Kluyveromyces lactis: one gene and its partners. The protein of the gene in region 2 interacts with the protein of the main gene of each other region in a pairwise test. Links are inferred from orthologs where the notes say so. Each region holds a gene or a part of one and is shown on either strand. Other genes may lie near its edges.

What was found.
Region 1: the proteins of NUM1 (region 2) and SCS22 interact in binary tests that used the Saccharomyces cerevisiae proteins (3 or more experiments, as listed by UniProt). The link is inferred for Kluyveromyces lactis from reciprocal best matches to the Saccharomyces cerevisiae genes NUM1 and SCS2.
Region 3: the proteins of NUM1 (region 2) and HDA2 interact in a two-hybrid assay, tested with the Saccharomyces cerevisiae proteins (2 studies listed by BioGRID). The link is inferred for Kluyveromyces lactis from reciprocal best matches to the Saccharomyces cerevisiae genes NUM1 and HDA2.

Annotation. Positions count from the first base shown.
Region 1 is NC_006041.1:623,383-626,337, forward strand, and holds SCS22 (phospholipid metabolism-regulating protein SCS22), read right to left. Parts: upstream 1,450-2,955; coding exon 625-1,449; downstream 1-624. Other genes in the region: MAP2 (methionine aminopeptidase), read right to left, coding at 2,226-2,955. UniProt on the Saccharomyces cerevisiae protein: Acts as an endoplasmic reticulum (ER) membrane anchor for cytoplasmic proteins via binding to the FFAT motif of targeted proteins. Regulates phospholipid biosynthesis by modulating the subcellular localization of the transcriptional repressor OPI1.
Region 2 is NC_006040.1:1,402,614-1,406,374, reverse strand, and holds part of NUM1 (Num1p), read right to left. Parts: coding exon 1-3,761. UniProt on the Saccharomyces cerevisiae protein: Controls nuclear migration. NUM1 specifically controls the interaction of the bud neck cytoskeleton with the pre-divisional G2 nucleus. Functions in dynein-anchoring.
Region 3 is NC_006039.1:896,181-899,841, forward strand, and holds HDA2 (Hda2p), read left to right. Parts: upstream 1-1,175; coding exon 1,176-3,080; downstream 3,081-3,661. Other genes in the region: GTPase-activating protein NEL1, read left to right, coding at 1-830; sphinganine-1-phosphate aldolase DPL1, read left to right, coding at 3,604-3,661. UniProt on the Saccharomyces cerevisiae protein: Required for activity of HDA1 histone deacetylase complex. The HDA1 histone deacetylase complex is responsible for the deacetylation of lysine residues on the N-terminal part of the core histones (H2A, H2B, H3 and H4).

The DNA of each region.
Region 1 (2,955 bases), on a different chromosome or scaffold from region 2:
GATATCGTTGTACCTGTAGCTAGTTAAAGACAAGGGTCGGTGGTATTGTGCCAAATAGTACCTTGTCCAGCTCATTGCAATTGAGAAATCATTTGATGGCATGCGACAAATTGAATATAGGACAGTTGCCAAAAGAGCCTCTATAAACAGAAGAAAAAAAAAGGATGTAAAAAGAGCCAGAAAGAAAAGTATCAATGACGGTTGCTGAGTATATTGGGATCAATTTGAAGGAGAATTAGTTCAATATCTTTCGTCTCCCTTTGTTTTCAATGAGTTGTTTCAACGAAACAACGATGAAAAGAACAGCTGTGTCACAAGATGAACAATTTCAATACTAACTCAAATATCTTGTCAATGTCTTGGCTAGGGGAAAACATAGTACTAATGGCTGTAATGATAATACAATAACAATAATGAAGAATGATTTTAGCCGCATGAAGAAATCCTGCAAAGAAAAGAACAAACAGGTTAAAAAGTACGGGGGTAATTAAAACAAAAGAAACAGACGTAGATAAGAAAAGAAATACGAATATAATTCATAACAACATTTCTATCAAAGTCGAGAAATATGTTGTCATATATTATACGATGGTTGATAGTTCCCTCACTTAATCAGAATGTATCCTAAGATAACCAATACCAAAGTAAGAAACCTATAACGATCCAAATGACCACGGCCGGTGCAATATTCGACGTACTAGCGGGTTCTGCAATAATTTCAGTGTTAGCGCTGGTATCAGATTTGACCTTTTCATCGAGCTTTGGTTCACTTTCCACAACTTTTGGCTTTTCAGTATCCAGGTCAGTATTGGCAGATGCAACCGGGACAGATTTCTTTTGTACCGGTTCACTAGCGGACTCTTCTGTAGCTTTCGAACCACTAGCAATAGTTTCCTTGGCTGAAGGAATGACAGTCTCAGTTTGCACGTTATCAGTTTCTAGATTTTCCACGACTCTTGGTTCAGCATCTAGTTGATAATTTACCTTAATCTTCTTTGACAGGCCCTTGTTCTTGAACTCTGCTTCCAATTGAGGCCAAGCTTCGGCCACACTCAGTTCACCTAAATCGTAAGGAGCTGGCAAAGCTATAACCAAGAATTTATCTTTACATTTGAAATCTGGTGTAGGTTCTTCCTTCAATCCTAAAAGAATCACTTGAACATCAACGCTTTCACCGGCTGGCACCAAAGCGGCATTAGGTCTTACACAGTATACCTTAGGAGCTGTGGTCTTCACCTTAAAGGCAATTGTTTGTTCTGAGTCATTCTTGATGGTAATATGCTCAGCTGCTTGGCTAGTGAAAGGTGCTATTACGAAAACAGAGAGGTAAATCACATTGAATAATGGAATCGCAAAAATGATCCCATTAAACATTGAAATAATGATTTGGAAGCTTGTTAGTATATCGAATGCATAATAACAGAAACATAATATTGAGTATCTAAGCATCGGAGAATAATTCCATGTGGTTGAGGATATGGAACATCTATCAGAATCCCTGTAATCCTTCTAAGTATTCATCCCATTATTTGTCTCTCATGCAAGAAAAGTGAGCCAATATGGCCACACATTTGACCACACGAAGTACACTTTCAAATGCTAAACACCATATTTTGTAACTGATCATATAGTAAAGTGGTTTTTAATCCCTTTAAACCACTGCTCAAAGCGACACATACGTTTGTATTCCAATACACTTGGAGTAATTTCAACCATTGTAAACTTATAATAGTGAGAAACAGTTTATACACACTTGTGTTAGAGCTGGAAAACTAATAGACTTCCCGAATCTAACGAAATAACAAATCCCAAATAGAAAGATAAACGAATTAGATAACCGTACCTGATAATCTTCGAACAATTAACCTAGGAACCGATCACTGTAAATCCTGCCAAAAACTAAGTCTCTCTGTTCTTAATTGTAATCGCTTAGTTCAACTTTTCTTTGTTTGCAAAATGTCAAATTCGGGTATTTATGTGTGAGGGTAACCACAACAAATGAAATGGGCACTGAACCTCGTTACGTAATTATCATGCAGCGAGCAGTCGACACAGACTTCCCTCTCACTAAGAGCATTAAGCATCTTTTGAGGTACCAACAGTGCACGGTTTGATTTCAGTTCTTTTATACTTTATATTCTATTTAAACGAAACTGAATTTACCTAGATATGCATATGTTGTAGCGTTTGTTATGTATTGACTACGACAAGTCTTATGGTATCTTTCAATAGTCGTCACCACGAGAGACAATTTCCTTCTTGTGAGGATGTAGGATAAGGGTGTGTTCGAATTGAGCCGTATATGAGCCCTTAATATCGTTCAATGGTGGGTAGTCTTCTACAATACCTTGCCTCACCAATGTGTTCAAAGCGTATACGTGCTTGTCTTCGCCCAATCTATCCAAGTAACGACGACAGAACGGTATAGTTCCAAAATTTTCATCAATAACCTTTAATAGATTCTTGGCACTCGATAGGGATGGTGTTGGATGTGAACCGGGTTTCTTAGCATAATGAGAGCATTCTCCCTCTTGTATAACATACCCACGACCGGTACTCCCGAAAGTTTCGATAGCGAAATGTTCGTTTTCTTCCATCTTTGTGTTGTCACCGTTCTTGACAATTGGCACAGATTTACCCCCATGAATCGAATAAGGATTAATGTTGTGGCCGCACAAATTCCTGCATGGTTTCACTTGGTGTGTCTCACCGTTAATTTCCACTTCGTACGATTCCATCACTTCTTGAATAGCTTCACCGATATCAGTCAACCTAACGTCGATACCTGCCTCTTTAATACCAGTATTGGTTGCATCCTTCACAGCAGCCAACAAATTATCGTATTGTGGATCGAATGCAATAGTAAACGCAGAATCGATGATATAACCATTAACATGGACACCGAAATCAACTTTCATTACATCCTCGAACTTCAACACGGTCTTGTCACCAGCA
Region 2 (3,761 bases):
AACAACATTATGGACATCTGGAGTATTTGCATTGGATGTGGCGACAAATGCGCTTTCTGGAATACATAGTAAGCCAAATCTCTTAGCAGCTTTGTTTAATTGTTTTATCTCAGAGTCAACGACCTCTGCGTCTTCTTCTTCCTCTTCATCTTCTTCAGAATCAGTGTCATTGTCGTTATCCATCAAATACGAACCCTTCTTCAAACGTTTGTACTCCGTTAAATCTAAAGCTATCAAATTGAAATCAGCGGCATGCTCAACTATTTGTTCCCTGGTCAAGGTTGGCGTCTCCAATTCTTTCTTAATCTGTTCAAACTGCTCAATAGGAATGGGAACAAGACCAAGATCTCGTGCGCGTATCATGAGATCGTCTTTAGAAATACCAATCGCGGTATTTGGATCATACTGGGACACTGGGATAGGCACAAATCCTAATTCTTTAGCTTTCAAAACAACGTCGTCCTCCGTCATACTGTTTCTGCCGGAGGAAGCTAATTCGCGTTGTATTTCTTCAAATTTGTCAGCATCAATCGGTATAATGTTGAGCTCATGGGCTCTTTCTATCAACTCATCCCTAGTCATTGCAACAGAAGCCGCTTGATCCTCGACTTCCAACAGATGGTCATATTCGTCTTTCGAGACAATAACTTTCCCATGTTCTTTCGCCCATTCACTGACAGAGTCATCGTTGAACTTGTTCAAAAGGTCTTCATATATGTCTTTTTCTATAGGAACTAAACCCCAATCTTCACATTTCTGTTTTATGTCTGTAACTGTCAACGGTTTTTTGAGGGCACTGTATTCTAAAACTGGTAGCGTGACGAGTTCTAGTTCTTTGGCCCTTGCTTCCAGTAGCTCGCGAGTCAAAGGCTTTTTAATTTCCTTGTAGTCTTCTTCGGCTAATGTGACAATACCCAGCTTTGACGCTTTTTCCTTGATATCATCAGCACTATCAGGTTTGATAAGCTTCAGGTAGTCATTTGTTGCTACTGGTACGAGGCCATGTTCTCTAGCTTTCTGTTTAATTGTTTCTGTTGAGATTATTGGAGCTGGCGCGATCAATTGAGTAGATTTTTTAACAAGTTGAGAATGTTCAGCTTCAGTTAAAACTATTAAGCCATACTTCTTCGCACTCTCACGAATAGAATCTGGTGTTAACCTCTCTGAAGTGATAAGTTTCTCCATCTCTATAAATTCCTCAGTTGGCACCACAGATAATCCGAATTGCGGTGCAGCAGAGTAAATGATATCCTTTGTCAAATCTTCAGGTGTCAATGATGTAGAGTAATGATTTTGATGACAATCGATATCCTTTTCAATAAGGTTGTAACCTAAAACTTCTGCATGTCTTTGCAAGTCCTCCAATGTCGGTTCATTATCTTTTATCGTTGATGCCAGTGAAACATTATCATTATCAGAACCAAGGAAATCATTGGCATCGGTATAATGAGTGGAAGATGTATGCATGCTTGACTTCGAAGGGCTGTTTCTGAGGTTGAAGGAGCTGCTACTTTGTAGCGCATCATAATAATCAGTGTCACCTGTGCTTACAGAATTGAAACTAACAGTGGAATGGTTCACAGAGGGATGGAGATTTAATGCAGGCCTAGAGCCATAATCGCCGACACGTTGATTATTATGTTTCTCGAGTTCTTCATCTGTGAAATTAACAGGGACCAACTTCAAAGCAAAACGTGAAGCATACAACTGTAAATCGTCATATGTAATATTATCACTATGCGCCTTTCTTTGTAATAAGTTATTATATTCTTCGGAGGGAAGAACAGTGAGATCAAAGGCTTTTGCCCCATTATAAATATCCGTCTTTGTTAATTCGTGCTTTTGTTGATTCTCGAGAAGCCTTTTGTACTCATCGTTTGAAAGTCTTACAAATCCTAATAACTTTCCTGATTCTAATACCACCTCTTTATTTGAATTCTCTTTCTTGATAACATTTTCGAAATATAGCTTGCTTGCTGCGACTTTCGATCTTGGTGACATTGAAGAAACTTCAACCTCTTTTTTCAGTTTTTCAATAAGAGCATCGTATGATTCTTCACTAAGAACAACAAGACCCAATTTCGCTGCAAGTTTTTCAATATCAATTTTGGTGAGAGAAGAGAGTTTTTTGGCCTCGTTTTGTAAATTCTCATATTCCTTGTCACCCAGGAGCTTGTACCCGTATTTTGGCGCGGTCGCTACAACTGATTCTTCAGATGGATTATCAACTTGGGTCTTCAAGAAAGCCAATTCCTCACGGTCAATAACAGTTAGCGCTAATGGTTCGACTAGCTGTTTTACTTTCTCTATCGAAGGAACTGTTAACTCCTTATAGTGTTTTTCAGGTAGAGGAATCAAATCGAACTTTGAACACAGACCTATCACCTCCTGTTTGGAAATTGAATCAACATTTGAGGAATTGAGACTTTTGTAGGTCTCAGCATCAAGTACCACATGACCTTTTTCTGTTATTTGCTTTTGTAGGATGTGCAGGGAAGGATTGGACAAAGAATCATAATCAGCTTCCGGAACAACTACAAGTCCGAGACTTCTCGCACTTCTCTGTAAACCCTGCTCGTCAGTAACTGCTGACATTTGTAACTTATTATGTTCTTCAATCGGTAGTAAAACTTGTTTGTGTTGCTGCGCTTTTTCTTGCAAGAATTCTAAAGATGGACTAGTCAAGTTAAGTTGAAGTTCATTGAACTTTTTCGTGGGAACTACGCTATACCCATTGATGTCGCAAACCTCCTTTGATCTTTTGATTGAAGGGTTATTGATTGCGAGCTGTAGCTCTTCGTACTCGACAGTTGGTAGAACCTTGCATTCAATTCTAGCAGCCAGTTGTTCCACTTCTTTCACCGTAGGTTCGTTTGTTTTTCTTTGCAAATTGTCATATTTCTGTTGATCGATCAAACGTTTGCCAATATTGCTTGCCCTATTTGATAAGTGTGCAATAGAAGGATTTTCATATGAGGTCTTGAGCTCTTCAATAGATTCAATTGGTAACAGGGCGAGTCCAAGAGTTCCAGCCATGTTTTCTAAATATTCTCTAGATGGGTGCTCTAATTTCGATTTCAAGCCCTCCAGTTCATCGAATGGTAACATAGTTTGATGATGAAGTTTAGCCTTCTCCTTCAAAAACGTCAATGAGGGAGAGTCTTTCATAGCCATTAGATTTTCATATTCGTTCAGCTGTACGGGAACCATTTTATAGGTTGAGAGGTGTCTGGATAAATCTTTTAGTTGTGGATTGTTTGATTTGTTTATCAAATCTTCGTAAGACTTACTATCTAAGACCACATGACCATGTTCCTTGACTTTCTTAATCAATTCATCCTCTGAAAGTAGTGCAACTTTCGAGCTTTCCTGTAATTTCTGGTATGCTTCAGCAGCAACAGGCTTTAGATTGTATTTGTCACAGAGTTTAAAAGTTTCATCTTTAGTTACTTTATCTATAACGGGAGCCATTAATTTTGAGTATCCTTCTTTTGAAACTGCAACGTAACCCAATGTTTCCAATCTGTTAGTTAATTGGTCGATGTCAACATTGTCGATTGACTTTTGTTTAAAGGAATTGAAATCTGGCGCAGTGACTGGAACAAATCCAAAATTCTTAATAGATTCGAGTAACATTGTTTTATCACTGCCCTTATGAACTAACTTTTCATACTCTTTCTGTTCGATAGTAACCATACCGATATCCTTTGCCTTTTCAATGATGAAGTTTCTTGATGGTTCATTTACGGTCTTATTCAAAT
Region 3 (3,661 bases), on a different chromosome or scaffold from region 2:
GGCCAAGTAGTAATCTACCATCAATTTTGATAAGTTTATCTGTTGATACATCTCGCAGCGCTGCTGAAGCCTTGCAAGAAATGCCAGATAAATTTTCCTTTCAAATGGAATGCTACTATAAACACTTGAATCAAGAATACGTTTCTGTAGAAACGAAATTTATTCCCAGTACAACCTTACCAGGTGAACATCTTTTAACCCAAAATTTCCACTGGGATATAATGGCTGGATCCATAATGAAAAAAATATCTTTCGCTGTCTTGTTTCAAGGCAAGTTTTATGATTACGATCTAAGGTGGTGGACGTTAGAAATAGTAAAACTTCTTAAATCATTGAATGCCATCGATGTTCCTGGCATTAAATCCTTACAAGAAGTAACGTACTTTATGCAAAGATCAACTCTCTTAAGGAAGAGAAATACATCGCCTGACGAGTGGATCGTCTACCATTGGACAATTCTGAATTCCCCTTTAAGTCATATATTCAAGATGGTTAGACCCCAAGTGTATTCGACCACAGGGCTTATTCAAAATACAACTGACATCCTTAATTATGCCGAACCTTTATTGGTAGATGGTGGTAACGTCCTTGTGGTACGAGATACTTCAGTAGGAGATAGCAGAGTTGACAGTTTGAAGGCAGCTGCTGATACCATATACCACGATGGAAGTCGATTTCCAAAGCCTTGGTATCGAGAAACCAAGCCAGGTGCTAGTCAGGATAGATTTGTAATTGCACGACTAGGCTTAACTGCAGAACATTCTTTGCATTCTGATGACCTCACGCTTGATAAATACATGGCACTGTTTAAATCAAAAAGTACTGCATGAAAAGTATGTAATCATTCATTTTACCTCTCAACAGATATCATGAACTCTATATATATATAACCAAAACCAAAAGGTTAGAATAGTTCCCCATTTACTGTCGCAACCTTCGAATCTATCGCTCCCCCTTTGAATAACAATTGTATGGCAGGAAAAGATACTATGTACGTATTCCTTGGTTTCTCCATCTGTCGCTTTTCAAAAATGACATATTTCATTTTTTAAAAGATACTATATAATTAAATCTAACCATTCTTTCCGAATAGCACATTAAAAGCCAGAGTCCAGAGGAAAAGAAAGAGAAACTGCAAGCGCGAGCCATTGGGTCGTTTCATTAGGGAAAGAAAGATGAACTCCACTTCCAACCGGACTCAGGTATTTTATATACCTGTTGGCCTAACTCAAGTTCAGAAAGATTTGTTGGAAATTTTAATCTCGATACATGCAGAGTCGTTTGTCTCATGTGTAGATAAACGTCTACTGCCAGAACTACAATCTAAATTAGAAAAAAAAGGGACAAATCTCAAAAGAGACTTGAGTATGACTGCATTAACAGATGTTCAGTTAACTGAATGGTTCTTCGAAAATATAAGAGCTGTCTCGAATCACCCTTGCCTGTTAGTTGAGCATTATATGCCTAGACAGTTTTTGTTAATGGAACCAACTGAAAGGTTGATATACACCAGCGATAAATTTGGCAAGTTAAATCTAATGGTTGATCTTTTATTGAATCGTAAGGACAAATCGAGGCCATTGCAAGTTGCTATCATTTCACATTCTGTGAAAGAATTGGATTTGATTGAAGGCGTCATGTTGGGAAAAGTTGCAAAGTTGAAGAGGTTATCTGGAACTTCTTTGTTTGACGAAAAACATGAATATGACGATCAAACTTCTGGTTCAAGAACAACCAATGGTGAAAATTCATCAAGTTCTGGTAGCGTAGCTCCTGAGCAAATCGGAAAATCGAAAGATGAATACAACTACTCTAAGTCAAGACGTAAGAATAACATATCTCAACTTGACTGGTTGTTTTTGGCAACAACCACACATTTGACACACTCTGAAGATTTACTTTCTAGGTACAATCTGGATCTTATCATCAGTTTTGATCCAATGCTGGACGAATCGTTACCATCGATATTCAAAGTCAGGAAAAATGGCAGAAAAACTCCTCTGTTTAAGCTATTGGTCCAAGATTCTCCGGATCACTATTTGTTATCCAAAAAGAAGCCAACTACTACTTCCGAAAAGCTAATTTTGGATTCCATTGTTCATTTTCTAAAGTATCGTGCCGATATCAAAGATCTTATTTCTTTACAACAATATGAAAATATTATTGACTCATTGATCAAAGAGACGGACCCTGGTGAATTTCTCCCAAGTGTAAATCCAGGAAGTTCGAGAAATAATGATGATTTGATTCCTTTTCTAACTAACCCAATGGAATTGATGCCTCTAACTTACGGAAAATATGAATTAAGGCTACAATCAGGACCAATGGACATTAAAAATTATCAGTATATTTTAAAAACACTCACGGCAGAACGACTCAAACAATGCCATGTAGAATATGAAGAGCGTGAAAAACTAGTCCTCAAGACCAGATTGAAAGAAACTAAAAGGTTAAATGACTTTGATGATTTGAAGGTGAATATCGGACAACATTTCAAAAAACTCAAAGAAAATGAAACCAAAATCAACGACTCTGAAAAACGCGTTGAAAGAACAAGATCTGAGTTGGAAGTTTTAGAAGAACGTCTAAAGAGCTTGGTTGAACGCAAATCCGAGCTTGTAAGGCTCTTAACTCTCGAAGATATTGCAAAAGAAATTGAAAATCAGAAGCAACAACATACCAAGCTATCAGATGAAGTTTCTTCCTTCAAGAAGAGTAACGATGAAGAGTCCTTTAAGAATGACGATTTGAGATCTAGCTACCAACAAAAATCGTCTGAGGCTGCTTCAGAAGTGCTAAAGACTTCAGCTCTGAAAGCTGAGAAAGAGGAGTTGGAACGCCAATTGAATGGACCTTTCACCAAGTGGGAACTTATTATATTGCAAGAAAAAGAAGCACAACTCAAATCTTCCTTACGCAAAATGGTACAGCAGTCTCAATTCCTAATACAATACATGAACCGAATACAAGGCCAATACAACATTGAAAACGAACCTGCAAAAAAATCATCTCCGGCAACGAACAACTCGTCAAGGTACACTACAAGAACTACCAGGGCTACTTCTCCTACGTACACATAAGTATTACTCCTTCTAGGATACATCCAGACCAAACCATCTCTCAACTACTGCATGCAATATACTGATATCTGAAAGCCTGTCAGATTCTGGTAAACACAAGCTTGCTTGCAAAATTGTAACACTAGCGCAATTACTCCTCTATATAGACCAGTTTGTATTATGTGAGTCAATAGTGACTTGTTCATTCTAATTTCGACATGACCACCCTAACTGCGGCAGTAACGGATCGGCATAACCATATTCAGTTGAAACTGGAACATAGAATTTGAGCTTTTTTTTTCGTACTTTTCGGATTTTAAAGACCTTTACTGATTCGTCTGGTATTTTGCATATAGGGTAGAAAATAAGAACTTTTAGTAGATTTTATGTCTTGCTCTCAAATTGAAAGCAGAAACTAAGGGTATACAGTTCTTTTTTTTTTCTTACCATTGCGTTGTATTGAGCTGACTCCCACAAAATAATAACACTTTAATCTTGGCTACTGTTAAACTCTGAACTTGATTTTGATACAAGTTTTCTGATAATGGGAAAGATGAGTTTCATTGAAGGATTGCAGAAGCGCTTTTTTTTAGGATATTCAT